4 linked regions of the Arabidopsis thaliana genome follow. Each later gene encodes a partner of the first gene's protein in a complex. Each region holds a gene or a part of one and is shown in the gene's direction. Other genes may lie near its edges.

Region 1 (8,472 bases):
TATAAATATAATTATGACATATATAATAGTACGATTATTTTCTTTAAAAAAAAAAAAAGATTATAGTTGGTTTTATCAGCACATGTCTCTAGGTTATAGGCTTTGGTTAAAAAGGGAGTTTATATTAGTACTAAGTGTAAACAAGTAATTTGTATGCAAATTATTCATTTTTGCCTGATAACAATTTTATGCGTGGTCGCTGTTGTTAAATTAATTAGATTTGAAGTAATGGTTTATAATAAAATCGAGCCGTGTAAAATTCGCGTTGATGAGTCAATGCATCGTCACGTGAGATCTTTAAGTCTTAACCACTCACTGCGTTACAAGATCTCCAAATCAAACAAAATCTAGTTTAGTTTGCGGTGAAAATGAGATAAACAAAACAAAGGGACCACACTAATCCAATAAAACAAAATTTTTTTTTACTGTTGATAAAACAGGTTCCAAATTATTGTTGCTTCCTAAACGTTTTGCGATTAGTGCATAACAAGTGATTGATATGATTAGTGCTGAACAAAATGTATTTGTCAACAAGATGAAATGATAAAATTATATATCTTTTTGTTACAGTAGTTAAATCATTTAATATATCGACTCTGTTTAATTAGAACTAAACTAAAATGTGAAGGTTTCATTGGTTTCCATTTAAACCTGTGACAATAATCCCATGTAGTATATATGCGATAATGACCACCTACTGCCACACAAATGCAATATATACATACACATGCATACTCTTGCAATAAACTATTTTCGCCACTAATCATGCTGCTGTATTATGATGGTCTGTAAACCAAATTATATAATCATATATTGTCACTTTTACTACCCTTTCGTAGAATTATTTTCTTTTAAGATAATTTGTCCAAAAACATCACGCATGACTCATGATTGCTACATACCTGAGAAAAGCTGAGATATTTATTGCAAAATATTAATATTTGGTACGACTAATTATCTGGCTGAACATGAGTGTACATAGAATATCCACGTTAATGTGGTTCGAACCTAGATTAATAATAGAATGATCAGTACTTGTTGTATATATTATATAGCTAGCCATAAAACGTTACAGAAAGAGCGTATAGAAGATGAAGTAGAGCATCCCGTGATGGGCAAACTAGAAATTCGGTGGTTTCTCCGACATATAATGAGACAAAATAAGGTTCGAAATTAAAGTTAGTCCATGTGATCACTCGGATTCACGTTCATTATACGAATATGAATGAATCTGTTTCAAACATTTAGCACATGCATGTGACATGTGATTTTACTTGGTTTGATAATTTACGTGTTGCATTTTGTAACACAACTCTTAAAACATCTGGGTCAACATATTAGACTATATAGTTGTGTTTATATATGGTCTATCGTCTAGAATTACGGAGCTATTTGTCACGGCCCACAAGTGCAATGAAATGAAATTTAATTCATAAGTTTAGATTATCCACTGGAGTATGTATACTGTCCTACAAGAATCTTTCACTTAATATACATAGAAGTATTTTATATTATATAGACGTATATTAGTCACTTTATTGACGTTTACAGAATATGAAAAAATGATGGGCCTTCGCAATTGTACGTACTCGACAACATGCGTGGCGATGACTCACCTTATCCATATTTGATATTACTTTTTCTAGTACTCCTTGTTTTTACATCACTTTCTGGTAATATTTAATTAGAAATTTAGAACCCTAGACTTTGACACGGTAAATTTTAATAATAATAATATATAGTTGTATTAGAACAGTTAAGAAGTCTCACGAGTTCATAATCAGTTTTGCTTACTAGCTAACTGTATAAATAATTATGCTGGAATCTAACAATTCAAAATTAACTTTGCTTGAGAGTTTTATACCAAACACAAAAGTACAATTTAGTCTAGACTCTAGAAAAGATAAATTCTTATTGCGAAAAATAAAAATTGCAATATATATACAATAGAAGTTTTGGGAGGGATGGTTTGGAAGTTTTAACTATCTCCATGACTCGACATATAAAAATGTAAATATCATTGTTCAGCTAAATGAGCTACCATCGATTAGTTAAAAATAACATTCTTTTACGTCAACCAATCTATGGTTTAGGGGTTAAAATTTTCACTCTCAATATAAGAGGAAAGGTTTAAGTTTTTATCAAAGTTTTCCGGTTATAGAAATAACGTACGTACGACTGTTTTCTTTTTCTGCTTTTTTCAGATTTTCTAAAATCAGTACTTGGTCTTATATATAGATCGATATGCAAATATGCAATGGCGAAGATACGTCCCTAGCGGCTCCTCTTTTGCCAAGACCATGTCACGATCTATCTTACAAACGTTACTCATTTTACTATATCTACTTTTTTCTCCCTAATATAAATATAACTTCGCATATTTATTCATGAATATTTATGCTAAGAAAAGCCATCACATGCATTTATAGTATGTAAGCTTATGTCGATGCAGTAGGACCATATCCGTATATATGTGTGTGCGTATAGATACGTGAGATAGTTTTGCTTTTGAGGCTCCTTCATCTCTCACATCCGTCTGCCCACGATCAATTTCAAAATAGACAATTTTAAAGCTAAAAAATAATAATTTCTTTTTATATGTAGATGTAGCTTTCATATCTAACCTAAAAATATTTGTCGTCAAAGTAAAAAAACTTAATAAGAATATTATTTAAAGAGCTTTAAACTAATATTAACTATAAATCGTTCGTATACTATTGTTCGTTAAATTACATTTAGAGACTATACTAGTCTACTTTAATATCAATAAAAATAAAAACTTCACATGCATATGTTATTTGTCTTTATCCCACTCTGGCCAATTTAAATTTGAAAATATACGTAGACTTATAGATCAAATATCTTATCTTTTCATTGTTGAAAAAACTAATGTAACATTCTAATTAGTTAAATATCTCCACTTACAAAAAGAAAAGAGCCATATCTTATCCAAATTAATCTCTCAATTTTAAAAGCACACATTAAACGGTCAAATTCCAACTTTTGTTAGATTAAAATATTATGAAGACGTCAGATAATACGAAAACATTGCTCCACTAATTTTTGTCGTTTATTTCCATTCAAATAATCATATATCTGGAATCTAAAATATAAAATATCATTTAATTTACGTGCTTATTTTTTTTTTAAAAACCTTCGTCAGATTACAATCAACATAGCCAGGTATAATCAAAAGCCAGAGAAAAAATAATAATACAAATGTTAAAATCTGAAGGAAAAAAAAAAATCTAGAAAACACTACTAGTTTGCCACTGTCAAAACAAACATACAGATATTTGCAACATTAAATATTTTTGAAACGTTTAAGCTCAAATTGTATATTTATGAAATGGGCTCAGCTTATACTACATAGTATTTACATAATTGGGCCTATGGGCCATTTAAATTCATAAAAAATATAAAGTACAGAAATAACGAAACGGCGTCGTTACACTTAGCTGAGTAGCTGAGTAATAAAATTGAACAAATTAGTAAAATTCCAAAAAGTTATCGAAGAAACGTTCAAGCTGTGACAGAGAATCTCGGTCGTCTTCGTTTGTCTCCGACGAGCTCTCTTTCTTCTCCGATTAGATCCCGTGAGAAGAACTCAAAGGCTCTAGGGTTTCTCTGTGATTCAGTTAACTCCTTTAGATATCGTAAGAAAGTAATCGATGATACTATTGCAGTCACATTCAAGGTTTCTTCTTCAAACGCTATTGACGCGAGCTCAAAAGTAAGTGCTTTTCAATTCTTAATTAGGTACACTCTTAGTTTTACCTAATCTACAATAAGACCCATTTTTTATTTTGGTCGATTTGATTTTGATTTTGTGAAGAAATCTGAAACATTTTGGAAGAACTGGGTTTTGTAGAATGGAACCAAAGTTCAATACTTTGCTTGATTTTGTTTATGTTTTGGTTCAGTCTTGATAAAGCAGTGGAGCTAGATTATCAATGGATTGAATTTGATGATGTTCGTTACCATGTTCAGGTGTGAATTTTATACCAACATTTGAGTATTTGACCTCTGAGATCCATATGATCTTGTTCAATGTTCTGAGACTATATGAATTTTGTTTGATAGGTGACAATGAAGAATCCAAATCTGTTGTTGCTTTCGGTTTCGTTACCAAATCCACCACCTGAAGCAATGTCCTTTGATGGACTTCCTTTAGGAGCTATAGAAGCTATTAAAACCACTTACGGGACAGGTTTTCAAATACTTGATCCTCCTAGAGATGGTTTTAGTTTAACCCTCAAGCTCAATTTCTCTAAAGTTCGTCCTGATGAAGGTTTTTAAACGAGTCTCTTTCTCTAATTGATAAGATGTTGTTTTGATTTAGATGTTGGTTTTGTTCTCTAATAGAAAGTATCTATGTTTTGGCAGAGTTATTAACGAAGCTAGCTTCCATTAGAGAAGTGGTGATGGGTGCACCGTTAAAAATCATTTTCAAGCATTTAGCTTCAAGGACGGTTGCTCCTGAGCTGGATAGGCTTGTAGCAATTATGCATAGACCTAACGAGACGTTTTTCCTCGTGCCTCAGGTATATATATACTCTATAGGTCTTTCGTATGTAGCCATTGAAGTAGGTTCTTATGATTAGTAAGAATCTAGAGAGTGATAGAGAACTTAACTGTGTATCACAGGCGGATAAAGTCACTGTGGCATTTCCTATGAGATTTAAAGACTCCGTAGACACGATTCTGGCGACTTCTTTCCTTAAGGTGACAAAATGATCAAAGCTAAATTTTCAAACAGGTTTTGATTTCTGTAGTACTGAAACTTTGGATATAATGATATAGGAATTTGTAGAGGCGAGGCGTGCTGCTGCGCTTAATACTGCTCCTTCTTGTTCTTGGTCTCCAACCGCACCGCAGGAATTAGAGGGAGCTCCTAAAGAAACACTATCCGCTAATGCCGGTTTTGTAACTTTTGGTATGATCTTTCTAAAATATATTCTGTTCGAACTCAATTTGCATTGGTAGTACCAATCTGAAAGAAACTAACTTTGAGATTATCGATATATCGCAGTCATTTTTCCTCGGCATGTGGAAGGGAAAAAGCTCGATCGTACTGTCTGGAATTTATCGACCTTTCATGCTTATGTTAGTTATCACGTCAAGGTTCATATTCTTTATCGAACTTTCATGTTTTCTACTTTCATATTCTCTAAATACCAGAACTTAGTCTCTCTATCTTAGTATGGATTTGTAAAACTGAGTTTTTGTTCGTTTGTTGTTATATCACAGTTCTCAGAGGGATTTATGCACACCAGGATGCGGCGTCGCGTGGAATCTATGATTCAGGTAAAACACCAAACTCATTACATTCGACTTGGATATGCGTTCTTTAGTTAACAAAATCTTGTTGTCTCAGGCTCTGGATCAAGCTAAGCCATTGGAGAAAACAAGATCGATGAACAACAAGTCATTTAAACGGCTAGTAAGTTGCGAAACAATTTGTTTTTCGACAGACTTTTTCTTTGTTTGTTTGCATTGTTTTTGAGCTTTGTTTCCTCTTCCTCACAGGGACTCAACGAGGTCAATCACACCAACTCGAAGTAGTTGGATTTCTCACGAAGCAATTTTGTAAAAACTTGTGATTAGCTGAGACATGTATTTTTTTTACTGGATTAAGTCTCTGTGATATTTATTTTAGTACAATTCTTTCAGATATTTCTATACATCTGATCTTGCTAAATATTTGAACAAATGTATAATGTGAAAATTGTAAGAAACTCACCTTGATATGGACTGTGTCTGGTCTTGATCTAAACATGGTGTTTTCAACAGAAAATAAAGTTTTTGTTTTGTTTTATAATTGTTTTTACAAAAATGAAGAAGATGAATCTTTATTGTTCTTCAGATTCTCAGATAGTCAAATTAAATGAAGTAATATTCGTACCAACAAATAGTCGTAAAAGTTGATTTTCATATAAAAACAAACGTTCAATTTATCCTTATACACAGATGTATCAAAGATTTGTAGTGATCTAGTAAGGTATAAGAAGAAGATTCAAAGGTCGCACGAGTAAATTAACGATTCCTTCGTAGTATACTTTTGAGGCCCATAAATTATGACTGGGCATATATTGTTAGGTTTCATTGTATCAAAAAATGAAATAAAAAGCAATTAACTGGCTTCGCCCGGGTTCGAACCGGAGACCTTCAGTGTGTTAGACTGACGTGATAACCAACTACACCACGAAACCTTTTTGTCTTCTTGATGTTGGTTTAACATATTCTATCTTCCTTACTGATCACCTTCACATTTTCGCAAACCATTGTATAATCTCTCATTAGCTCTAAGGACTAGAATATTGTTTCGAGAATGGATAAAGAAGCTGGAATAGTATTTGATATAAATGATGTTTTATGTCTTGCGTTAAAGAAATTTTGTCTGATTATTTTCGGATATGAAGTTGTATTTCACCAAAATCCTTTTAATACTAGACCATAATATCGATTTGATAACATACGATTTATATACTACGGTAGATTCAGATTATACAATATAGCATACAAACTGTGATAATTTTGCATCATACCGATTACCGTACTACGTTACGTTGTCGTTTTGGTGTTTGTATTATAACAGATTCATTTTTCTAGATAATTATGGTTTGAGTTTTATTATTACTTTTTTGATAATGATTAGCTGGGTATCGAATATCGATTACCAAGATTAGGTTTTGGTTTTGCGTAAATAGTACTCCTCCTTTTGGCTTGGTAAAAAAAACATAAAATTTAAATGTGAGTTTGTGGTAATCCATATAAAGCGTGAGAACTATTTTAAAATTTTAATGAAATCACAACAAGGACACTAGATTTATTTTCGCAAATTTCTCGTATTTATCTTATTATTGGTTTTATTCAGATAAGAGAGATTAGAACTAAAAAATTCTACAAACATGGAACCAAACTACATAAATAAAATAATATAAAAGAATAATGAACTAATTATTTTTAAATTATTGAAATTGTCTCTATTTTTTTTTCTATTTTTTTAATGGTTTCTAAGAAAATTAGAAATCTCTAATTTTTCTTCTATATAAATAAAAATAGAGATAAGTTAAAGTAAAATGAAAGCAAAAATAAAGTATAGAGATGGCTTGGAAATGCTCTTAGAAAGATGAAAGTAGAGTAGCATGATGCTCAGGTAGCGGGCGTGTGAGACACATGTGTTTTCTGCTCCTTTCCAAAAACAGATTAGGGTTTTAGAAACATATCGACATTTTGCCTTACTCGTATTTTTGGCATTTTTGCATTTCTTGCTAGTGTCATGAGGAAACTTCCTTTATTTTATGATTCAACGATATCGTTTTTAGCGGTAAATGACAGAGTGTTTAAGTTATTTGCAGTTCGAGATCTTGCTCGACGTGTCTAAATTCTCATCTATATCGATTTCTATTTCTAGATAGCCTCTCTTCCTCGTACTAGCTCGAGGACATCTAGCATATTTGAGAGATTCATTTATGTTTGTCACTGAGGTTCCTTGATTCAACGTCTGGTTGCTACATCTTTAATCGGTTCTAGTTGCGATTAAAAACAACATCGATTTTTGCATGGTGCTTCCAAACCTTGGTCTCCCACTTTTTCGTATTTTAGATTCAGAAGGAGCGATGGTTTTCTAGTTTCTTTTGTATCCTATTGCTCGTGTGATAGTTCTCTTTGGTTGTTGTAGCGGTTTCTATTGGGTCTTTGGTTAGTTCTAATAGCATATGACTTAAAAGGAGAAATTTCTATCGATGAGTCTCTTTTAGCAGCTTGAAGCTTGTAGAAGAAGATAGTTTTAGACGAATGTTGCCAGATGATACGGGATCTCGACTAGTAGTGTCGGAGTGTCTGAGATCACAATGTTCTCAATTTTGGATGATTCACTTGTTTACAGTTTGATAGTGTCGATTGCTTGCTGAAAGTATGTAAGTTATGACGATATAAGTTTTCGAACGTTATCCTTACACCCCGGATGCTCGTGGCAACTTGAAGCTAATAGGCTTAATTAAATTAAAGTGTTGGAAAAGAAATGGGCTTAAGAGATGGCCTAGCTCACGTTGGAGCTCCGGTGGTTGTCGGGTCTGGTCTTGAAAGGAGGAAACAAGTCACTATGTTCTTCACGTCCCTAAAGAATAGGTCCTCTTCGCTTCCTCAACTCCTTGAGAATATGAGTCGTTGAAGTATCAAGTCACCCACTACCTCCTATATTTCTATTTGACTTGGTTTTGATTTTGTGAAGAAGCAAATTAAAACCTAAGTATCTCAACTCTATATAAGAAGGTTAGGCTTCTAAGTATTTGTGGATCCACTAGCAGATTAACACTTGAACGTTCAAACATCTTTCAAAAGCAAAACATCTCCATCAATCTCTCTCTGTCTTAAAGTAAGTCTCGAGAGTATCGTAGAAACTTGTTCGTTAGAGTTGTGTTTCGAGTGCTGCGAAATCAGTTTATAGAGGTTGTATCCTGGGATCCT
Region 2 (7,301 bases), on another chromosome or scaffold:
TGGAAAATGCATGACATATATTTCAAACCAGATAAAGTGAACCATTTCAGTCTGAATTCAATTGAATAATGTTAATATGAAGACCAAGTTGAATTTTAATGTGGGGAATTAAGCTTCTTTGGAAGGTACTAACCAAATTCAAATATAAATATATTCTTTGAAAATTTGAAACATAATTCATTATGAAGTAAATATTAAATAAAACAGAAAGTGTTCCATACTGAATTATAGTTTCATTTTGAATACTATTCTATACAAAAATAAAAACAATAAAAAAAAATTGAGAGAAATATTAGCAATGAAAACAAAACTATCAAAGAATTGTTTTTGAAGTTAAAAAATATAAAATTTCAAAGTTCGAGGTCGGTGGCTAACTAACATGAAAAGCGCCGAGCAACTTGTGATATGTACGAGTTGGACCAAGTCGTGACGACTTTTTTAATAAGCTTAAGATCCAATTATTTCTCAAGAAAAACAGTAAAACGTACGCCAACATATATTAACTACGACGACAAAATTCTTGGCCTTTAAGAAAGACTAGTACACGATCAATCCCAACGATTAAACCAGCAGACGAGTAACCATATGTAGGGTACGAGTTTCTCAACCACATCTCCAACTTTTCAGTAGACGATCTAATTATGTTTAACCACTAGAAGCCGACACCATAAACATCCATCCGAGGTTATCGTCTTTCGAAGAGTTCCTAACGAGCATTCATGAAACATCATTCTCACTTCTCCTCCCACTAAACCGACTTTTTTCGGATGTTATTTCAAATTTGGTTAATTGCTAAATGATTGACCATTAATTCGACCACGTGATTACACAAAGAGACGTTTAGATCCACTACATTGGTGCGATGTGAAGTGATCACCATGCTTTAGTTTACACGTCCACTTTATATAGGTTTGGCAGTTAAAAAAAAGAAGTTTTATACATAGTTCTATCAAGTGGTCTTAGACCGAATCTTGGCAATATATTTGTTATAAGACTACCAATATCATTAATGATTAGAGAAAGTTAATGTTAAGTTTCATCAGATTCTAATTTAAAACCAATGGGTAATGATTGGATTGGTTGTGTTCCATATATACTAGTGTTAGCACTTAGCAGTCATGAGTGTGTTTACTCCATTTATAGTATACTTTCGATGTAGGATCCTAATTAGAATGATAAAGAAACATTCCAAAAGAGTATTATCAAAATGCTCTTCGTCTATCCATACAAATATAATGAGATTTGGGCAGAAACAACCATTTTGTTAACATATTAGGGTCGAGCGCAGAAAAAAATATATTTTGACCTGTGTTAATAAAATAGAATAGGTTGCGATTTTAATTAAGGAGGTTAATAAATTAAAATCGTAAAAATGATACCAAAATGGTAACAAAATCGTAAAGAAAAGTTCATTAGTATAAATATAAAAAATTCGGTCCAACAAATATTACTATTAAAAATTTATAAGAGAGATTTATAATAAAAAAAAAATTGTTATACCAAGAAAGAAAAGGAGATTCTTGTATTGTAACCCGTTTGTGTGTCTTTTTTAGTCTCAGATTTGTTTTAATTTTCTATGACTTAGGATTTGTAAGTCTTTTTTGGATTTCTAGAACCTGATCGAGGAAATTTCAATGAATATAGTGTAATTGGTTTGTTTGGATTTTGTTCCCTTTGTTTACCTTGTTTGGTATTTGGCTTCGGGAGTGTTCTTGTACTCATCGGCTTATGTCTCCGGAAGTGGTTTGTACTTGCCGGCTCTTGTATTTCAACTTGAATCCTATCGATGAAAATCCTATTGACAAAAAATGAAAAAAAAAATGAAGCTTCCATCATCCATCATTCAGTGGCAGCATAAGCATTTAAGACTACGTGCCGTTTAAGGCCAAGACAAACGGCACTCAGTTCCCTTTTGAAATGGTCAAATGGCGATTGAGTTGTTTTCCTCTCTCTCTCTCATTTTTTCAATTAAAGAAGGGAAAGAGGGGAAATCTCTGATCGGAGAGAAAGATCGAATCGAAGAATGGCAGAATTCGTTGAAGCTGATAACGCAGAAGCAATAATCGCGAGGATCGAAACCAAATCGAGGAAGATTGAAAGCCTACTCAAACAGTAATATCAGACCTTGGAGCTAAACCCTAAAGTCTTCTTTTGTTTTTGGTTTAATCCCTTATCGGTGTTTTAATGTGTGCAGGTACAAACATGTAGAAGCTTTGAAAACGGCTCTTGAAGGTTCGCCTCCGAAAACTCGCGATGAACGTTGCAAGGTCTCTCTCTTTCCGAAACCATCTTTTTTTTTTTTTTTGATTTACTGAGCCAAAAAAAACTCAACTGCAGTCGGCTAATTGGATAGTTGTGCACAGAGCTTTAATGGCCATTAAGGATATTGACGGAATGCTCAATGCTCTTGATGTCGAATATTACGACATTCTCATGAAGTAAGTGCAAAGTTGGTTTTTTTTTTTTTTGCTGTAATGCGTTTTGTAATATGTATGAATTGGAAAGCTCTATCCTCAGGCTGTCTGTGCTCTTTGATAGAATGTTTTTGCTTAAAATTCTCAGGTACTTGTACAGAGGACTTTCTACTGGGGACCGACCCACCTGCGATCAGTGCCTGAAGATTCACGAGAAACTCACTGAGAGAGCTGGTCTCGGTTGCATTCTCCGATGTCTTACTGATACCATCAACACCGTTTGATCCATCATTCCCTCTTATGTATTATTACTTGATGCCTTGATGTTTCCAATGTGCATATTCTCCTTGAGGAACCATGTCTCACATTTATCAGTTTTAGACTTGTATTTTCATTACCAAACAGTTGCTTGATAAATGATAACACAAGTCATTCCTAGAGCTCATGTGTAACATAATTCCCGGATCAGCTGAATCATAAATACGAAGACCAAGTTGTGATTAAGTAATTTTAGGGGGGTGTATTGAAACCAGAATCTTTTAGAAGATTTGGTGGAATTTGCATTCTTCTACAGACCAAATCCATTCTCGATTTTGCCGGTGAAGAACAGAGACCGAAAGCTTTTTTCATGGAAGACGAGGGGAGGAGGACAATGAGAATATGTCGCAGAGATTTTCTGTGAATCTTTTTTTAAATCAAATCGTTCAGAATAACACCTACAGGTGAGATTTTTTCATGCTTATTTTCAACTAAATTTTTTTGCCTAAGTCTCCCAGAATCAATGTTAAATGTTTTTAATGAAATTGTTTTGTTGAGTTTAGATAACAGTGGATTTAAGATGTGTTTTATAAATTCTTGAATGAATAACAGAAGATTATAGATTCTTTTGAGTGATTTTATATAAATTCCAATTTCAATAACAAAGGATTTGAGAAAAAAATTACAAATCACAAGTTGAATACAACCATTCCTGATTCACTGAATGTTCATAACTCGAAGGCCCAATATCGAACTCAGCCCATTGAAACTAAATTCATTTCTAAACTTTCAATGTAAATGCACTCGTCATACAAGAGTAAATGTTCACATAGTTAGTCATTGATTTAAACAATTTTACTCTTTAGATTTTTAAAATTTTATAGGATTGTAATAAACCAGGTTGAATTCAAATGTCAAATAGCGTTAAATAAAAGTTTAGATCTTTTTTTTTTTTTTTTTTTTTTTTATCAACGTTAGTACAAGAAGAAACAAGAGCAGCTTTTGCCAAAGCATCAGCTTGATCAACGTTTCCTTATAAAAGACAAAAGCAATTAAGTTTTTACTTTTACAGTCTTTTTGATCAAATTAAATGAGTAATTGAGTAGTAGTAGTAACAAAAGGGAATCCCAGAAATAGTAGTTGCTTTCACATGAAAAAATTTCCAAATACAACAATTTTTATTTATTATTTATAGCATCCGGTAGTTCCAGATGAACTCTTGAAAACCTATTTTCAATAAATCTGATGATCCTCTTTTGATATTTCAAAAATATTAAGATATATAACAATATAAAAAAATTGTCAGCTAATTACAAATTGTTTTCTCTAAAATTCAAAATTACCAATAAAAAAAATGATGTCTTTAGAAAGAAATAGATAAGTGTTTTTGTGATAAACGTTTAAATTATTGTTTATGTACTCAGATGTTTTCGGAGATAAAATGGATTATATGGAGTCTGATGTGAATTCAATAACTTACCAAGTATTAGTGCATGGGAGAGCGAATTCCCTTCTTCTTCTTTTTTTACAGATTTACGTGGAAGCAATTTTGAGTGACAAAAAAATAAAATATAAATATAAATATATATATATATATATATATATATATATATATATATATTTGAGCGACCACTGATCACAAACGTTACGTTTTTAAAAAATTCAACCCAATTCGTAACCCTAATTTTTAACCCAAAAAAAATAATCCTAAACCTAATAAGCTATATATTCACTATATCTTTTGTATTTGTTTTATTGGGTGAGAAAACTTGTTCAATTAGTCAGTAATTGGTTTTCGTTCTCACTCACCAAATCCTAATTGTCATGGTTTTGAAAATTATTAAATCTGGAAGTAGAACATATAGCGTCGAGATAAATATGCTACCTCTTATATCCTTTTATGTTCTTGCCTTTTTTTTTTTTTTGGGCATACTCTAGCTAAAACAATTTAAGTTCAAGTTTCAAAATATTTTTATACTGTATGTTTTTTTGAATACCAAAAAATCCAAAAAATATTTGAAAATATCCGCAAATATATAAAAATATCTAAAATATTCAAAAATATCTGAATAAATACTAAATTTCTGAATTGAAAGAACCGAAACCAAATCCGAACTAAACCAAAATTGTTTTGATTTTTATATGGTTCTTTAACTCGAGAACACCGAAATAATCAGAACTAGACTATAATCGAATCAAAACCGAACCGAATACCGAATCGTGCAGTTCGAACGGCACATGTGGCACATGTGCATTTATGAACTAATTATAAATGAAGATCCATGTAGGTGCATCTAAGTTTGATTTTCTTTTTTAGTTTTTCATATAAAACATTGAGTATTGTCTCTTTAAGTTTGGTTTTAGAGAGGAAGGACCGAAAAGAAGAGTATTAAGAACCAAAGAGGTATTTTCCGTAAAATATGATTAAACCTAACATATCAATGACAATTAGATGGTCATTCCTTTGACTTTTGTTAGACCATGTGGACAAAAATGCACACATACAAACATGTTTATATATATTTATATATATTATCATCTTTCATTAGACGTGCATATCGGTGGATTATTTAGTTAATTATATATTTGAGCAGACAAGCTAACTATAATATATATCTATATTCTCCCAGTTGTCCACAAAAAGAAAGAACAAAAAACAAAATTCTCCCATATGATGTCTTAAAAATATACTTTCTCTCATATCATAATTCATATATAATATTTGGCTGATCGCAATTTGAAAACGTTCAAATCGTGTTAGGAGGAAGCAAACTTTGATTTGCTTTATCTAATAACATTTACTATAACGAATTAGTACAAAATTTATAAACTCAACAAAATTAGCCATTCAAAACTCAAAACTGAAGTAAAGACTCACAATTAGGAGCAAACACAAGTTGAAACCAAAATAATTTTGATTTACAACAAATACGTTTATCTTTATACGAACGTGTATACATCTCTACTGTAACAGATATACAGTGCCATAAATATAATTACAAATTGTATTTATACACATGTTGTTGAAAGTTTGTTCTGTTAACTTTTCTTAAACAAAAGAAGAAACATCATGAACCTCAACAAAGAACACTTTGTGAGTAATTAGAGAAATAATATATTTTTAATTAAAGCGACCAAAAGTTAAATATGTTATTTATGTATATATGAGTTTTTTTTTTTTTTTGGTTTAGTTAGTTTTACATTAATCTATTTACTTTAGTTGTATGTTCTCGACTCACTTCATAATCTTAGTACATGTGGAGCTTTTTCCGAATTTTATCAAAAAACAACTCTTGCGATATTAATATAACTAACTGACTAAGTTATAATAACCTAATTCTCACATATTTATTTACGCGCGTGGTTGAGTACACATACGTCGTGATGTGCATAATCAACGAATGATTTCTTAAAAATATATCTACAAAATAACCCCAAAAAAAACTAATTCGGGAGTGAGTGTGAATCTTTGAATGAATTGTGGATATGAATTTAAAGAGGTCGCTCCATTTTCAAAGTCACTACGAAAAAGATTGGCAATTTGATGGCTAAACCCCCTACATGCTGGTCCCATTTAATTTTGGACCTCGTCGCTTCTGCATTATTTTCAAAATAAATACAAAAGTATGTAGTAAAAATATACATATATACTTCAAAAATCCAATCCATATTCTCTCACAATTTTTTTAATTCTTAAACAAATGAATAGAAAATTCGCTACACTACTTTAACTAAATGATGCAAGAACTTATAAATTACTTGTAGGTTCATGATCCAAAGCTGTATAAAGTATAGGAGTACTTAAGATTATCTATTTTCTTAAAACAATACTATATATATATGCATGTGAAGAGAGTAAATATAAGTAGCTATAGGTCAAACTTAATTAATACATCGAGCTAGAATTCCACGATCCCTCACTATAGTTAATTAACAACTACGAGAAAATAGCCGAGGACCGTTTTGCATGATTAAATCCTCTTGTTTGATTTATATTACACAAATATATGAGTAACGTATTTTGTACGTTATACATTGGAAGAATAATATAAATAAATAACTAAAATGAGGAAAAAAAATGGACCATTATTTGGCCTCTTTATTTATTTTTCCTCCCAAACGTGTGGGCAAAGTGTGGGACTAATTTGTAGACTTTTTATACTCTTCTTTATTTGCTTGTTTTGGGCTTTACCTAAGCGCCGTTTTCGTTTACTTGATATCTTCCCCATTCCCAATTTTAGTTTTTGTTTATGGTTGAAAGTATTCAATAATCAACTTATAATTTTTTCAGTCCAAATTCAAAAGCGGTCTAGTTCTTCGGCATATATGTGATTCTTTCAAGTTTTGCGGATAATAGTTACTTCTATATGTCAAAGAAAGAGAAGGTAGTAGTTATAGATGTGTCATTCCGCCAAACTCTTGCAGCTAGCTTGTCTGGTCTGTGAAGACATTCTAAGTTTCTTACTCATGATGAAGAGTGTTATGCTCGAGCAAGGCATTGAGAGAGAAAAAAACGAAAAGCAAAATGACAAACTCCAAAATTAGAAACACAAGTTTTACCTTAAATTATCATTTTTATGTTTTCTAAAAAATAACTCATTGTAGAAGAAGAACGTAGGTTTTTTATTT
Region 3 (9,633 bases), on another chromosome or scaffold:
TAAACAAGAATAAAAAAGAAAAAGACAAAACTAAAGTCTCATACTTTTAAAGTGTTTTCTCATTTCTTTTTTGACCAATTTCGAGATCAAAAGAAACATTTTTTCTTTATTCTCCTCAAATTCTACATCGGGATCTTACTGGGTTTTTTTTTAAACATTAAATTCGTAAATTCCCAAAGAAAAAAAAAAAAACTCGATACCTTTTGTTTTACAAAGTCGTCACAATTCTGAAACCCTTAATTGAATCCAAGAGAATTTTTGATTAAATTAAGTCTCTGGACCCTGAAGTCCCCACACAAGCAAGCTTCGATGGATCCCAAGAACCTAAATCGTCACCAAGTACCAAATTTCTTGAACCCACCACCACCACCGCGAAATCAGGGTTTGGTAGATGATGATGCTGCTTCTGCTGTTGTTTCCGACGAGAATCGCAAACCAACAACTGAGATTAAAGATTTCCAGATCGTGGTCTCTGCTTCCGACAAAGAACCAAACAAGAAGAGTCAGAATCAGAACCAGCTTGGTCCTAAGAGAAGCTCTAACAAAGACAGACACACTAAAGTCGAAGGTAGAGGTCGACGAATTCGGATGCCTGCTCTTTGTGCTGCTAGGATTTTTCAATTGACTAGAGAATTGGGTCATAAATCTGATGGTGAAACTATCCAGTGGCTGCTTCAACAAGCTGAGCCATCGATTATTGCAGCTACTGGTTCAGGAACTATACCGGCCTCTGCTTTAGCTTCTTCAGCTGCAACCTCTAACCATCATCAAGGTGGGTCTCTTACTGCTGGTTTAATGATCAGTCATGACTTAGATGGTGGGTCTAGTAGTAGTGGTAGACCATTAAATTGGGGGATTGGTGGCGGTGAAGGAGTTTCTAGGTCAAGTTTACCAACTGGGTTATGGCCAAATGTAGCTGGGTTTGGTTCTGGTGTGCCAACCACTGGTTTAATGAGTGAAGGAGCTGGTTATAGAATTGGGTTTCCTGGTTTTGATTTTCCTGGTGTTGGTCATATGAGTTTTGCATCTATTTTGGGTGGGAATCATAATCAGATGCCTGGACTTGAGTTAGGCTTGTCTCAAGAAGGGAATGTTGGTGTTTTGAATCCTCAGTCTTTTACTCAGATTTATCAACAGATGGGTCAGGCTCAGGCTCAAGCTCAAGGTAGGGTTCTTCACCATATGCATCATAACCATGAAGAACATCAGCAAGAGAGTGGTGAGAAAGATGATTCTCAAGGCTCAGGTCGTTAAAAGGATTGGGTTTTTTTTTGTATCTTCTGGATTTGAAAAAGCTTTTGGCTTTTGTTTTGTGATAATATTGTTGTAATTTGTACCACCATGGAGAAGAAAAAGAAAAGGTTATATACTGAGTGAGAGTGATAATCTATACTTATTGAAACCTCTGCAAAAACACAAGGTGAGTTCAATTTGAGGATGATGATACAAGAGAGTGGAATCTTCAAACCTTTTTTTCCGAGTGTTTGTGACAATTTTTTGGCAGTTGTTGTTTGAACTTGCAGGTGGAGTTTGTTGAATACACACAGCCAGAGATTTTTTTGTTTGGAGTCTTTAAGTTGCAGAGAGGCTTGTTTTTACTTGTTCTGAGTTTTGTTGCTTTTGAATATCAAGAAACCGGCTTTTTTCAGATAGTACAACAATGGTAATGTATACTTGTCTTCCATCACATATTTGTAGAATGAAGATTTATAGCTCTCTTTTGCTCAGTATTCTTCTATTGCATCTCCAAAGATTGTTCTCTTTCGTTCGATCTCTCTGAATGAGTTAAAGACTTTCGTTTAGAGTCGAGTGTAAAACACTTCGCTGCATGTTCTGATTCAGTGGCTTTGAGCTGCAATGGATTTCACAATGATGGTAACGTTGTATTCTTTAACTCTTACTTACATTCATGTTATTGCCCTGAGTGTGCCGTTAACTGTGGGAAGGTTTTGAACTAGGTACAAACCCTTCGCAGTTGGGAACCAAATAAGCTGGTATTGCATTTACTCTTTGCCTTGCAAGCTTTTTCAAAGATAAGTATAAATTGTTCAACGAGTCAAAAAGTTTATATCATTTTACTCATTTTGACTTGAATTTGACGGAACTAAGGAAAGAGACTAAGAGAGAGAGAGAGAGAGAGGTTAACGAGTCAAAAAGTTGCTTGATCTCTATGATTTGTCCAACCAATCAAAACAAGTGAAGAAAATTCAAAAACATTCACAAAGCTCTCTCTTTCCCTTTTGAGCAATGATCTAACTCAACACTATGGTCCAAATACAACTCCAATAGATCCATTCCAAAGCCTCCCTCATGATGAGAGCGTGACTTAAGTTGCTTACTCTTTTAATTTCCATTCTCTTCGACACATTGGGCAAGGAGCTTGACTTGTCTACGAATTCTTCCATTTCAATATACAGAAGTGAAGATGAAACGCGTGGTTACTTTGAGGTCTAAGACATGCAGTTTTGTTCTTACCAGAACTAAATAAAGCAGCTTAGCAATGTTCCAGTAAGCATGAGAGACAGTGTGTGTCCTAATTAACCTATATAAAAGTGAAAACATGAAAGCTGATTTTACATCGAACAAGTCATTGGACTTGTGTGTGTGAAACTGTAAAAGTCTTATCTTATTTTTACTATATTGGTGACTGATACATAACATGTTGTGACAGGAACTTAATTTACAACATGTTATGTAGAATAAATTTTAGTATTGAGACAACATAGAGACAACAAAAAAACCTAGAAGAAGATTGATATCCCAACTTCGTACCAAAACCCTAGTAACATCTTTCTCGTAACATAACCCTAATAGTGATTGAAATCTCTGATCAAGGGATTGCATGATGATCATTTACTAATTCTTAGTTTAGATCATCTAGAAGATTGTTATACAAGTAAACAGAATTATCTGTTTGACCTAATATGGGCCTGAGATAGCCCATCAATACCCACAACCAAGTTAACTCCATCTCAATAATTCGAGAAAAGGGGTAACGTATTTAATAATTTTTTCTATGTATTGACCGTTTGCACTACGTGACGTTTTCACGTAGAGTAAACGACGCGCATTCTTATAAAGAAACGAGGAAACAGCTGCTTTTTGTTTGTCGAAGAGCAAATATGTTTTCTCGATCGCGACCAAACAAGTAGAGAAGAGTGATTCTTCGCTTCGATTCAAAGACAGGTTTTTTCTTTTGTTCCCTGAGAGATCGAATCGAAGAAATCGAAATTTTTGTACTTCGATAAAAATCTGTAGTCTCTATAGAAATCGGAGAAGATGGACAACAAAAACGTCGTCGTTTGCGACAACGGCACCGGTGTAAGCTTCTTCTCTCTGATATCTCTTGTTTCAGACTCCGAACTTTAGTTGAATCTGATCAATCATTCCATTCCTATCTGGGTTTCGTTAAAAATCTCACTTTTGAGTTTGTTTAGGATCTAGTTGTCTTAAAGTTGCAAAATTTGAAAACTTTCATGTCTTAGCATAGTGTAAGATCGTGTTTCTATTGAAATCAAAACTAATACATGAGAAATCTCATAATGGGTTGCTTAAGTTTTGAGTTTCTTGTGATGGGAACAAATTGTGAGCCTCTTATTAAATTTTTCAGTATGTAAAATGTGGATTTGCTGGAGAGAATTTCCCAACGTCTGTTTTCCCCTGTGTCGTGGGAAGGCCATTGCTTCGGTATGAAGAATCACTCATGGAGCAACAAGTCAAGGTTTGTAGATATGTGACTTTAAATAAGCAAAACCAGATCATTGTTAGCCTTTTGAGTTTTGACTGAGCTGATATGCGTAATTCGGATTCATATACGTTTTGGTTTTGTTTCATTTTAGGATATAGTTGTTGGGGAGACTTGCTCTGAGCTCCGGCATCAATTGGATATAAATTATCCTGTCCACAATGGTATTGTGCAGAATTGGGATGATATGGAACATGTTTGGGATCATGCTTTCTATAACGAATTGAAAGTAAGTTTCTTCTCCTGCTTCTTCTTGCCATTTTTGTCTCGGTTCCATGTGTCTTGACTTACTCTTAAACCCTTTTTGTTATTAACAGATCAATCCATCTGACTGTAAGATATTGCTCACGGATCCACCTCTTAATCCGTCCAAGAATCGTGAAAAAATGGTAAGATATTATCAAGTCTTTGGTTAAGAGTTGCTTTGATGGTTGTTGGAGCAGTGATTTATTTTATGTTATAAAACAGATTGAGACAATGTTTGAGAAATACAATTTCGCTGGCGTTTTCATTCAAATCCAAGCCGTTTTGACTCTCTATGCTCAAGGTGCTTATGGAGACTATTGAAGGTTTAGATTTTCTTTCGTGTGTTTAGATAGTCACCTGTAAATAGCATTTATGTGTGCTTCCCTGATATTTTTCTTCATGTGTTGAACTCTTGGTTTCAGGTTTGCTAACTGGTTTGGTTATTGATTCTGGTGATGGTGTTACTCATGTGGTAAGCTATAAACCTCTGTAATTTTTTAGATCATATATTGCTTATAATAGAGAAGTTAACCGTCTTCGCCTCACATCTTAGGTTCCGGTGGTTGACGGCTACTCGTTCCCTCATCTTACTAAAAGAATGAATGTTGCTGGCAGACACATAACAGCATATCTCGTTGATCTACTATCTCGACGAGGGTGAGAAACTGATTCATAGACTCACATTCATTTTAATGATGTTGAGATGTTTTAAATTAGCTAAACTAAAAGACTGTTTGTTCAACAGATATGCGATGAACAAAACAGCTGACTTTGAGACGGTTAGGGAAATTAAAGAGAAGCTCTGCTATATAAGGCATGCAAAGACCTCTTCTCAGCTTTCCTCTAATATCTGTGTAGTAATGCATTACTAGAATAGGAAATAAACACAATTTGTTTTGTCTTTTTTTGCAGTTATGATTACAAGAGAGAATCTCAGCTTGGCCTTGAGACAACTATCCTTGTTAAGAATTATACTGTAAGTCTCTCTCCTGGTATGAACCTGTCAGGTGTGTGAATTTTCAAGGTTTCGATGGCAAATAGAGGCAAGAAACAGAAACTAGTGTACGTTAAGCTAATAGGAATCCAAACTCATGATCAGAACTAAATAGATAGCAGATTCTTGGCGAACTTGAGCCTGTAGAGAACTTTAAAGATTCGTGCCATCATTCCTTTGTTCTTTTTGGTAATGAAAGAATGATATTATCATCTTTTCTTTTCATGACATCGTTTCTCTGTTCTTGGGCGCTGTGTTTGGGATTTTTCATCCGATAGTCGATAAAGTTTCATACTTGTGCCAGTTGCAGCCTCTAAAGCTGATATTATCACCAAATTATTTTTTTTCCAGAGTACTAACCCGTTGTGTTTTTGAACTGTGATCAGCTTCCAGATGGGAGGGTTATCAAAGTAGGCACTGAAAGATTCCAAGCACCTGAAGCGCTTTTTACTCCGGTAAACCTTCATCGCGTCCTCTGCTAATTTCTCTTTTGGAATAGTTTCAACCCTCCAAGAATCTCGAGGCTGATCACAACCAAATATTTTTTCAGGAACTCATTGATGTTGAAGGTGATGGAATGGCAGACATGGTTTTCCGATGTATTCAAGAAATGGATATTGATAACCGCATGATGGTTCGTGTGACTCTTACGCTTGCTTGGTATTTCAAAAGAAAGATCCAACAAAACTAATCATTTATCTGTCTTAAACCCTTTGCTCTTTTTTCACAGCTCTACCAACACATAGTTTTAAGCGGAGGTAGCACCATGTACCCAGGATTACCTAGCCGGTTCGTATATTTTTTCTTCATCATAACCCAGCAAGAAGTTCCATTGTTTTATGTTTCATTGTCTTTTATTCTCTGTTTGTTTCAGTCTTGAGAAAGAAATACAGGATCGGTATCTCGACACAGTTCTAAAAGGAAACAAAGATGGCTTGAAGGTAAAAAAGATGATTCTGATAATGCCATGATCACTGTCAGTCATTAGCTCAGTTTTTAACATTTATCTTCGTTTTTCTTATCAATCAGAAACTCAGATTGCGGATCGAAGATCCACCGAGAAGGAAACACATGGTATACCTCGGAGGTGCTGTTCTTGCAGGAATCATGAAGGTAAGAGAAAAGTTCAATGCTATTCTCTCTTTTAACACGAAAGCATGAAATTTTAGTCTGTGTTATGATGTTAAGAGAATTTGGATTCGATGTTGCAGGACGCACCAGAGTTCTGGATCAATAGAGAGGACTATATGGAAGAAGGAATTAATTGTTTGAATAAAATGAGCCAAGCTTAATAACTTTCAAACGCAGAACTCATACTTGTACTTGTACCCCTTTTTTTTACTACCGTCAGGATGATTTAATTCCGTTTGTGAATTCAGTATTTTAGGTTTCAAAGTTTGAGTACAATTGGTTGCAGTTAGGGATCCAAAATTCGACATGTGATTGGTGGGATATACAGAAAAACGTGTATTAACTAATAATGTTGAGACTAATATATTGTGTAATAACCAAAGCCAAAAGGTCGAGAAGAGACGAAATGCATATATCTTAATTCTTGAGTAAGCAAACAGAGTCAAAACAGTGAAAGATTATTTGTAATTTTGAAAAGGAACCCTATTTCTTGCCACACAAGGTAGATCCCTATTGTTTTCTGTTAAAACCCAAAAGATTGCCACAACTCTGAATTGATGGAACCAGCTTCCTTCTACTGCATGTTCTGCAGCTAGTCTAAGTACAGCAGCTTCAAGCTAGATCAAAGACAAAATGATTACCTAACCTGCCATGAGTAAAAAAGGATTTGAAAACTTTTAAATTAACTAGAAACAAAAAAAACTGATTTACAATCCCAAAATAAAAAACTGTAAAAACTTTTTGAGGTCTTAATATGGGCTTTGGCCCAATAACGGCAACACCGTGTCAGAAACGTTGGTGTTGGTGACTGTTAAACTACCTCAACGACATATAAAACATTATGAGCGTTGGCCCAATAAAGAGATATAGGCCCATAAAGTTATAGAGAAATCACCCGGTGGTTCATCCAAATCTAACCACGACGAAGATTATTTCCAAACTGCTCAAACTTCTCCGGCGAGTTTTGGAGACATTATCGGAAAACGGCGCCATTTTATTAACCGTGATTTTCGTTGGCTCCTTCACTGCTAATTGTTAGCATCATCGCAACAATCTCCTTCTTCTGATTGATTCTCTCTGTAATTTCCTCTTCGCGCTTGTTTTTTCCGTATTTGCTTTCTACTGAAATTGGTCTCTGGTTATCTCTCGTAGATTAGGGTTTATACAAGCTTTGATGTCTAAAGCCACTAACTAGTTTTGTTTATGCACGTACTTGTCCTATTGTCTAGTTCTCGCTTCGTCTTACGAGTTCCTTGTCAGAAAGCTTGACCCTTTTTGTTTTCTTTTCCATTGCTTTGATTGATGACTCTTAGGGTTTTTGACTTGTATCTTCTTTGTTTCTCTATAGATTTTGTGAAGGCACACTGGTTTTTGAGCTGGTGTTGAAGCAATGGGTAGTTCATTTAACGCTCAGATATTAGTTGAGAAGCTTGCCAAGCTCAACAATTCTCAAGCAAGCATAGAGAGTATCCTCTTCTGTATATCATAATTTGGTTGTAGTAAAGCTCTGTAATTTCATTGTTTAAGTACTTAAATAGGTGCTTGGAAAAGACTATACAGAATTGGTATCTAAGTTAATGAGTAACAATGGTATAAGATGAAAGTATTGGTATCTCTTCTCAAGCAGAATATATCTAAATTCCTCAGGATTTTCTTTTACTTGAGCTGTAGTTTATACCAATTTTGAGTTTCAGTGATATTGGTGTCTGATATACACGGATAATTTTCTCAACTCTCCCAACTTGCTTTTATTGTAAATTAGTTTCCCTTTGATTAGTCTCATGTGATGTGTTGTTTTTCTCTCGCCTTGTATACTATTATGGTGTATGTTTTCCTTGACGTTATACAGCTTTATCACATTGGTGTATCTTTCACATGAACAAAGCAAAACATGTTGTAGAAACATGGGGTAGGCAGTTTCACTGTGCCCCACGTGAGCAACGTTTGGCATACTTGTACCTCGCGAATGATATCTTGCAGAATAGCAGGCGAAAGGGTTCGGAGTTTGTAGGTGAGTTCTGGAAAGTACTCCCTGATGCTCTTCGTGATATGATTGAAAATGGTGATGACTTTGGAAGAAAATCCGCACGCCGATTGGTACGTGAAGTTAACTTTTTATCTACCACTCTCTCTGAATTTCTCTTTGTTTGAGATTTTAGAGAACATAGAAATGCCACTTATTGATGTGATTTAAAGAATTTGACAAGAAAACTGCATTGCTAATTATCGTAATTATTTCTTCAAGGTTAATATATGGGAAGAAAGGAAAGTTTTTGGATCCCGTGGACAAATTCTCAAAGAAGAACTTCTGGGAAGACAGCCTGAAAATGGAACCAGAAACGGAAATCTCGTGCCACTTAAGCTTGTAAGTCAGAGTTTGTTGTACAAGCAATTTCGTACCAGTATGTCTCAGTACGGTCCACTGTTATGTGATAATTTCTACTTTCGAGTTCTTCCATGCTAACCACATAATCAACTCTGTCATTTCTGCAGTCTGTTCCTCAGAGACAGGTAAATGGATCCACACTGGAGAAAGTAGTGTCTGCTGTTGAAGTTCTTCACGGCGTTCAGATTGATGAGGATGCTCTTGTTGGAAAATCTACTAATGCTGCTGGTTACCTTGAGAAAGCAACACAAGAGGTTGAAAGAGATCTTAGTTCAGGTATCACCGTCCATTGGCTGCTACATTACTGCAAATGTATTGATATGCTTTTTTCTTATCAAGTGACAAGCGACATAGCTTCAGTTTTCTACATTCGTTTGTTTTAAGAACTCAGCTGTTTGGTCTATCTTTAACCACACACCCTTTGTATCTGAACCGAAATCTTAAAATTTGCGTAACAATCTCGTATCTGGTCTATGTGTGATCTTAAACCACTACCACGCTTCCAATTCTTACTTCCATGATGCTCCTCTCTCATTTTTCCAAATAGTTTTTGCCAAAATCATCTTTTAAACATGGTGGCTCTTACCATTTGATAGGAATATTCAGCATATCTTTGTGTCAAATCATTTAATGATAAGAGCACTTACCCCCAATCCGCAACGAGAATAACCAGTGCTACACATTTTGGTTAATTTTGGATCCCTAATTTTTGTCACTACATTTCTGATTACTGGGACTGGTCTTTATATTAACTGCTTGTAGATATATTACACTTCTTTACTTGTAGGATAGAGAAGATCCAATTCTTGTTCAAGCATCCATTTGAAGTTGTTTTCACTATCTTACTTCTTGAGCATTGCTTTAAATAGGACACGCCCCTGGGCCAGCGGTGGTGAAGGAGTTGCAGGGACAACATGTCATATTGAGAGACTGCATCGAACAGCTAGGGGCAATGGAGACATCCAGAACAAGTCTTATCTCACATTTGAGAGAAGCTTTACAAGAACAGGTTTACATTTATACATTTTCTTTCAAAACAACATCTTTCATTGCACCGGCCAGAAACCTCACCTTGTTTTTGTTTTTGTGTCCAGGAACTCAAGCTGGAGCAAGTCCGTAACCACCTTCAGG
Region 4 (6,925 bases), on another chromosome or scaffold:
CCTCTCCAGATATCTCTTTTTCCCTCATAATCATAACATTTTTCCTTCTCTATATTGCTCTAAAGCGTATTCATTTCCTTTTCTTTATTCTTTTTTCATAGCTTTATTCAATGCTTTTTTGCCTCTTTTTTTTAGCTTTTTTCATCATGTTCCACAACAAAACAGAACAGATCTTTTTCAACTCCATAAAAGGAAAATGTAAAGACCCCACAAAACCTAATTGATATAACCCAGAGCAATTAAGAACTTCAGGAACAAAATCCTGCGATTGTAGTGAGAAAAATCATAAGAAAAGTAAAACTCAACGCCAGAAAACAAAAACTATAGCATCCTCAAATTTGCACAGAAAAGTTACTAAACATATGAAATTTTCAATTATATCTGAAGGCTAAGGTTCCACCAGTAATATGAAGACTCAATCTACTTTCCAAAACCCTCAATATCACTAACAACAGAAACCCCTCACTAGTTTTCATTTGAAGATAAAGTCTTCACGCTAAGCACCAACTTTTTACCATTCAACAATTTCATCTAATAAGAGTTCTCACTGAATAGACAAGAATCCATAGCAACAAAGATGTGACATTACACCAAAAGTCAGAGTAAACTAGTGATATATTCAAGCACTAAATGTAGAGAATGCAATCATGGATCAGGAAGAGAACATAATCAGATAATAGATTTCTACGATAATAATTCTAACACCCTAGATAAAAGGTTTTGTATCAAGAGAGCTAAAAAAGGCACAATTCATAGTCTAATCCAATGAACATTAAGATCAATACGAGTTAAAAACTATGAAAATAAAGCAGAAGCTAGCTAAGATGGCTTAAAGAAAGAAAACGACGCAGAAACATAAATATTCTTACATTGCCAACAAAAACTGATCGAGCATCAACCTCCTCCTTGCCTGCTTGATTCGCTGCAATACTAGCAGGATCTGGAATAACAAAATTGAACCAAAAACTTTAGTCAAGAAGCAAAAAAAAACTCCATATACATAACATAATTCACAGTGGAATTCTAAGATGGATTCAAACACCACCAAGTAGCTACCAATTATCAAAAACCTAGCGAATTGCGGGAAGCACGATGATAATCATATCAAAGAAGCGAGTTATAGCAAAACCAAATCAAAGAGACGAAAACCTTGAGCTCCCATTTCCTTCTCGACCTTAGCCTGCATCTCACGCAGAGCAGCAGCTTCGTCCTCCATCTCTTTCAATCGTTTCTTCATTTCATCCAACTCCTAGAATTACAACAGCAATAACACAACAATCAAACACATATACACGCGATAACAAATCAATCGAGCTCAGTCACATAAAGATGAGCAAAACAGTAAGAGAGAAAGAGATAATAGTAGACCTTAACCGCATCATCATCAGCAGCAGCCATATCCAAATCGGGGTTGAGAGCCTCCATATCTCCATCCATCTCTCCGACGTCTGGAATTTCACCACCGTAAACCTCGTGCTCCTCTTCCTCCATCGTCTCTCTCGCTCTCTCTCCGTCGCGACGTTTGCTTTGTTTTCTTCTGAAAACGCTTAGGTCACTTTTTGTCAATTCGGATAGCGACACGTAATCAACCAAATAACGGCCCTTTATTATAACTTAATGGGCCTAATAAGGCCCAATTTTAAAAGACTTTTTAACATTCGAAATTACCCTATTTGATGACATCATCACCCAAAAACATGCGCCTGACAGAAAGATAATTGTCGAATCCGTCAAATCTCACCGAGCCGGCAGAATCCAACGGTTAATATTTAGACACGTCATCATTAATTAAAAATATTGACTAATAGTTGACAACGACGACAATACGACCGTATCAGATCTCTCTCTGCGTTTAAAACTTCAAAAAAGCTCACTTTTCGGTAAAAGCTTAAAACAGAGGATTTAGCAAGAGAGGATTTAGCGAGAGAGAGACGTTGAAGAAGATGACTAGTGGAGGAGGATACGGAGATCCGTCGCAGAAGATTGATTATGTGTTCAAAGTGGTGTTGATCGGCGATTCCGCGGTTGGGAAATCACAGATACTGGCTCGTTATGCTAGAGACGAATTCAGTTTGGATTCTAAGGCCACCATCGGCGTTGAGTTTCAGACTCGGACGCTTGTTATCGATCACAAGAGTGTTAAGGCTCAGATCTGGGATACCGCCGGCCAAGAACGGTAATCTCCGACCTCTCCCGGAACTTTTAGCTACTTCAATTGCTTGAACTTAGATCTCGTAAGATTTTACTGTTTCTCTAGATCTGGAAGATGATAGGTCTGCTTAGGATTTCGAATTCTAGTAAAGCTTACTGATCTGTATACGAAATTGGGAGGATCTGAAGTAAAATGGTAGAATCATTGAGAATTTGGGATTGGGATTTCAAAATTATGTATAGACTAGAATTATGTATATTACTATTCCAATGTTATTAAGCTTCTATAATTTTATGATTGGTACAAATTTGGACACTTTTGTTATACATTTCCCAGTGATGCTTCATCAACTTTATACATTCACTGATCTTTAATGAGTAAGCTAACCACCACATTTCATGCTTATCATATGCTTACATTGTATATCTTTCTATATGTGTGGTATTGGTTGAAACAGATACAGAGCAGTAACAAGTGCATATTACCGAGGAGCGGTTGGGGCGATGTTGGTGTATGACATAACCAGACGCCAAACCTTTGACCATATCCCAAGATGGTTAGAAGAACTACGTGCTCATGCAGATAAGAACATTGTGATAATCCTTATTGGGAACAAGTCAGATCTTGTGGATCAACGAGCTATACCGACAGAAGATGCGAAAGAATTTGCGGAGAAAGAAGGTTTGTTCTTCTTGGAGACATCTGCATTTAACGCAACCAATGTTGAGAGCGCTTTCTCCACGGTTTTGACTGAGATCTTCAACATTGTGAACAAGAAAAGTCTGGCTGCGAGTGAAGATCAAGAGAATGGTAATCCCGGGTCGCTTGCTGGTAAGAAGATTGATATTGTTCCAGGTCCTGGTCAAGTGATACCAAACAAGAGTAACATGTGTTGTAACTCTTAGATAAACCAATTCAATTCTTGAATGTTACTTGATAACAACAATATATAGATGTTTTAAAGACTCTGATTGGGATATTTCTCCTATCTAGAGCTGTGTGATTCATTTGTTGCTTAATGAGCAGTTTTTGTGGGGTTTTGGGGTGTTGAATCCAAGTATAACAAACCGATCTTAATTTGATCTTAAAAATTGGATATTAATTTGATCAACATGTTTTTATTCTCTCTACATTTGTAAGATTATTGTTACATTTTTGTTAATTACAAATATATACCAGCAATAACAACTTTTCTATTTCTCTTGTTACGTCAATGTGAAAAAGTAAAAATTAAAAACTGAAGCATCCGATTTTAATAATTGGTATCACAGTTCTGATAAATTCTCACTCGGCCGTTTTACCACTCGATTGCTTTATTCTCTCTAATTTCAGGTAATCTTCGAATCCTGCTTGATTCTTCAATCTTGTATGATTTGATCAGAAAGTTCAGGATTACTGATCTGATATGATGTGAGAAATCTGCGTACCATCGGCAATGGATTGTTTTACGTGATTAGAATTGATTTTGTCGTGATTGTTACTTCTCTTTTTAGCTTTTTATGGGGATGACAAGTTTTGCATTGCCTCCTTTGGTTAGTAAACTCAAATCATATGTTTCTTATGCAGCAAGTTGTCGATTTGAATGAAGAAATGAAATTAATTGATTAGGTTTTAGATAATTTTGCTGGAGAGTGTAGAGAAAGAGAGAGATCCAATGGCTGGTGCAGCAGCATTTGTTGAAGCTGATAATGCAGAGGAAATAATGGCAAGGATCGAAACCAAATCGCAGAAGATTGAAAGCTTACTCAAACAGTAATAACCCTAAAGTTCCTTTTTTCTTCCAACTTTCTCAGATGACCTAGGCTATAATTGTTACTTCGTTTTATTCAGCTACAAACATGTCGAAGCTCTTAAAACGGCTCTTGATGGTTCGCCACCTAAAACTCTCGACGAACGTTGCAAGGTCCTACTGTTTCCTCTACCATGCACATAAGTAGTTTGTTCATGATCAAAAAGATTGTGTAATTTATGATAAATATCTGTGAAATTGCAGTCAGCTAATTGGATAGTTGTGCACAGAGCTATCATGGCGATAAAGGATATCGAAGGAATGTTAAATTCTCTTACTGCCGAGTATTACGACATTCTCATGAAGTAAGTCTCTTGCCTTTTGCTCTGCTAGCTTTTAATTAGCGTGATGTGGAAGCAGTGTTTTGTTTGCTTAAATGGTGTGGATCAGGTACTTGTACAGAGGTCTTTCGACTGGTGACGAACCCACATGCGAACAGTGTTTGATGATTCACGAGAAACTAACAGAGAGAGCTGGTCTCGGTTGCATTCTCCGTTGTCTGAGTGATACTACCAATACCGTTTAAACCATTAAGCTGATCTTTTCATGTTACTTTTATTCTTGTTTTCTATGAATGTTTCTCCCAAATCTCAAGTTACTTCAATAGATTATAGAAAGTGGAATAAACCGGAGAACCTAAGATCCTTTCACAAAGAGATAGTCATAAAAGAACCTACGGTTACCTGGTTTTAAATTATATCTCATAACCAGGAAACTTAGAATCTACCGGCGACACAAGATCGAACCAGAGGCATACTGGTCCAGCTAGTCCCCGGAATAGCGAATAATCATGTTCTGTTTCTTGGCTTGTCATATTCACGAGCTCTATCGCATCACGGCACAAGTAACTCGCAAACGCTTTTGCTCTCTCTTCATATACAACATCTCCGGTTAAGCGATAAAGGGATAAGAAAGCGTAGGCATTACCAGCAACTCCATCAGCTAAACCTACCTTCTTCACCAAGCCACTCTTCCACACTACTTCTCCTGCTTCAATGGCTGCTTCGCGGAAATCCCTTTCCTTGGGAAACACCTGAGATGCTTTAGCCAAAGTAATGGCCATGCCGGTTGCTCCATGAGCCCATTGGACTAGCTTATCCCTCGGATTCCCTTCGCTGCACGGGTAGTTTCCGCTGTTCGGAAACCTATTACTCATCATATACCTCAATGTCCCTTGAACATCTTTAACATCCTCTTCCGATAGTGGAAAATGCAGCAATACATACAAGATTCCAGCTAATCCATTCGCAGCACCCCAAAATCGCGTTCCGTGAAACCTAAAAGCCACAAAAGTAAGATCAATTCCTACTAAAGATAAACAGGATTCTCTTTTAACAAACTATAGCTATTTTGTGAAACCTGTATAACAGAGGACAAGCTTCATGATCTGCAGCTCCAACTCGCCCACCGGCTAAGATGGCTGCAACAATGGGTGATAAGAGATGGTCAGGAACAGTTCCTTGGCCGAGATATCGGTTTAGGAACAGAGCAGCCCAAAGGAAACCCGCTCTTCCATAGAGAAGGTCATATGACATCCCAAATCCTCCTTCCTCTGGTCCTGCTGGTAACTCTCTCTCTTCTGCAAGCTGCTTGTAAGAATAACAAATCTTAAAGGCTCGTCACTTCACTAATCTTGCTTAAGGGTTAATATATGACACGTTGGATCAAAATACTGAATCTATAGCTTTTATCTGAAAGTGTTGTAAGCAAAAGAAATGGTGTATGAAGTCAAAAAGATTGGAACCTCAAGAAAAAGACCGAGGAAGAAGTCACGCTTTGATTGGTCCCCTCTGTAATTGGCTACAATTGCACCAAGCGTACAAACTCCTCCTCTTCCACATAAAAATGTCACGTGCCTATTCATGAGCATAACAAGTCCAATAATTTGTTAGAAAATGACAAGTCCATTCTAATGGGTGTGTAGATATTGTTATTATTCCAGAACCTGAAAATTCGTTCATACATACATAATTTTCTATAAACTATAATTGGTTAAACAGTGACATCTTTGTAATGACTCAATCTCACACATGTGTTTTCTATCAGACAGATTTTAATTAAGAATATTCTTTAAAATGGTTAGATTCCATTTTTTTTTTTTATGGAAGATGATATTTGATGTTTACTTGGCTAAGCAACTTAGTGACGAAGATATTTTCACCTGGTTGTGGCACGCGCAACGTTGGCACACGTGTCGATTATCTCTGCGCAAGTTAGCAGATCTTGATGGTTCCGCGTTACCTCGTACGACTTCAAGCAGGTGAACGCTGTGCCGAGTAGTCCTGTGTACACAGTCGGATCCAGCACTGGACCCGAACCAGAGGCAAGAGCTTCGACACCACCTTTCCACGTGGCCTCCACAACCTATACATACATCGACCAAAAAACATATATGAGCGAACGTACGGACTAGGCTTACATTAGCCGTCTGGGGCGTCGCATAGTTATCGTAACGCACCTGGTTCTTGAGTAACGTCGCTGCTCTGAGGAAAGATTCCGTAGGGAGAGAAATAGTCGGAGCCGACGGTTCGGAAAGCAAATGATCAATTTCGCCATTCTTTACTGTCTCTCCGGCGCCGTTACCATCGTCGCCGCATCTCCCCTGTTCCGTCACGAAATCCACCGACGACGACATAGCTCTCGCCTTTGTGTCTCTGTCTTACTCTTGATCTTGATTGATATCTTGAAGAAAGAATCAAATACGGGAGTTATATTTATTTGTAGTTTTTATAACAGCCGCTATTTATATAGTTTCTGTTTTTTTATTTATCTTTATTTATTTTAGTTCTATTAGACCAAATAAAATTACTGTAATGGATTTTTCTTCTTTTAAAAGAAATTTGTGAATCACCTTTTAGTTTAGTTTTGGTATAAAATATTTTAGTAATTTATTTGGATTAATTCAGTAGTTAATAAATATGTTAGGTACTTGAGTATGATTTTTAGCAGTTCCACACGTGTTTTCGTAATTTTGTGCATTTGGG

The links.
Region 2: DIS2 (region 1) and CRK share a complex: the UniProt entries of both Arabidopsis thaliana proteins name them as parts of the arp2/3 complex.
Region 3: DIS2 (region 1) and ARP2 share a complex: the UniProt entries of both Arabidopsis thaliana proteins name them as parts of the arp2/3 complex.
Region 4: DIS2 (region 1) and AT5G65274 share a complex: the UniProt entries of both Arabidopsis thaliana proteins name them as parts of the arp2/3 complex.

Annotation. Positions count from the first base shown.
Region 1 is NC_003070.9:10,957,435-10,965,906, forward strand, and holds DIS2 (Arp2/3 complex, 34 kD subunit p34-Arc), read left to right. Parts: upstream 1-3,473; 5' UTR 3,474-3,671; coding exon 3,672-3,733; intron 3,734-3,923; coding exon 3,924-3,990; intron 3,991-4,083; coding exon 4,084-4,291; intron 4,292-4,386; coding exon 4,387-4,544; intron 4,545-4,647; coding exon 4,648-4,725; intron 4,726-4,803; coding exon 4,804-4,936; intron 4,937-5,032; coding exon 5,033-5,124; intron 5,125-5,250; coding exon 5,251-5,307; intron 5,308-5,377; coding exon 5,378-5,443; intron 5,444-5,529; coding exon 5,530-5,565; 3' UTR 5,566-5,797; downstream 5,798-8,472. UniProt on the Arabidopsis thaliana protein: Functions as actin-binding component of the Arp2/3 complex which is involved in regulation of actin polymerization and together with an activating nucleation-promoting factor (NPF) mediates the formation of branched actin networks.
Region 2 is NC_003075.7:733,753-741,053, forward strand, and holds CRK (ARP2/3 complex 16 kDa subunit (p16-Arc)), read left to right. Parts: upstream 1-1,900; 5' UTR 1,901-2,023; coding exon 2,024-2,112; intron 2,113-2,194; coding exon 2,195-2,267; intron 2,268-2,337; coding exon 2,338-2,438; intron 2,439-2,562; coding exon 2,563-2,698; 3' UTR 2,699-3,213; downstream 3,214-7,301. Other genes in the region: AT4G01703 (uncharacterized protein), read right to left, coding at 500-613. UniProt on the Arabidopsis thaliana protein: Functions as a component of the Arp2/3 complex which is involved in regulation of actin polymerization and together with an activating nucleation-promoting factor (NPF) mediates the formation of branched actin networks.
Region 3 is NC_003074.8:9,949,431-9,959,063, reverse strand, and holds ARP2 (actin related protein 2), read left to right. Parts: upstream 1-3,081; 5' UTR 3,082-3,279; coding exon 3,280-3,321; intron 3,322-3,610; coding exon 3,611-3,721; intron 3,722-3,839; coding exon 3,840-3,974; intron 3,975-4,062; coding exon 4,063-4,134; intron 4,135-4,213; coding exon 4,214-4,292; intron 4,293-4,413; coding exon 4,414-4,463; intron 4,464-4,544; coding exon 4,545-4,648; intron 4,649-4,736; coding exon 4,737-4,805; intron 4,806-4,903; coding exon 4,904-4,967; intron 4,968-5,371; coding exon 5,372-5,440; intron 5,441-5,535; coding exon 5,536-5,619; intron 5,620-5,715; coding exon 5,716-5,774; intron 5,775-5,859; coding exon 5,860-5,926; intron 5,927-6,014; coding exon 6,015-6,098; intron 6,099-6,196; coding exon 6,197-6,277; 3' UTR 6,278-6,585; downstream 6,586-9,633. Other genes in the region: TCP20 (TEOSINTE BRANCHED 1, cycloidea, PCF (TCP)-domain family protein 20), read left to right, coding at 310-1,254; AT3G26990 (ENTH/VHS family protein), read left to right, coding at 7,507-7,582, 7,966-8,213, 8,362-8,481, 8,610-8,778, 9,372-9,511, 9,597-9,632. UniProt on the Arabidopsis thaliana protein: Functions as ATP-binding component of the Arp2/3 complex which is involved in regulation of actin polymerization and together with an activating nucleation-promoting factor (NPF) mediates the formation of branched actin networks.
Region 4 is NC_003076.8:26,081,494-26,088,418, forward strand, and holds AT5G65274 (ARP2/3 complex 16 kDa subunit (p16-Arc)), read left to right. Parts: upstream 1-3,806; coding exon 3,807-3,904; intron 3,905-3,982; coding exon 3,983-4,055; intron 4,056-4,099; exon of another isoform or gene 4,100-4,145; coding exon 4,146-4,246; exon of another isoform or gene 4,247-4,331; coding exon 4,332-4,467; downstream 4,468-6,925. Other genes in the region: AT5G65260 (RNA-binding (RRM/RBD/RNP motifs) family protein), read right to left, coding at 870-940, 1,150-1,249, 1,369-1,491; RABA4a (RAB GTPase homolog A4A), read left to right, coding at 1,944-2,176, 2,610-3,057; GCL1 (GCR2-like 1), read right to left, coding at 4,636-5,218, 5,301-5,527, 5,686-5,797, 6,103-6,305, 6,400-6,576. UniProt on the Arabidopsis thaliana protein: Functions as a component of the Arp2/3 complex which is involved in regulation of actin polymerization and together with an activating nucleation-promoting factor (NPF) mediates the formation of branched actin networks.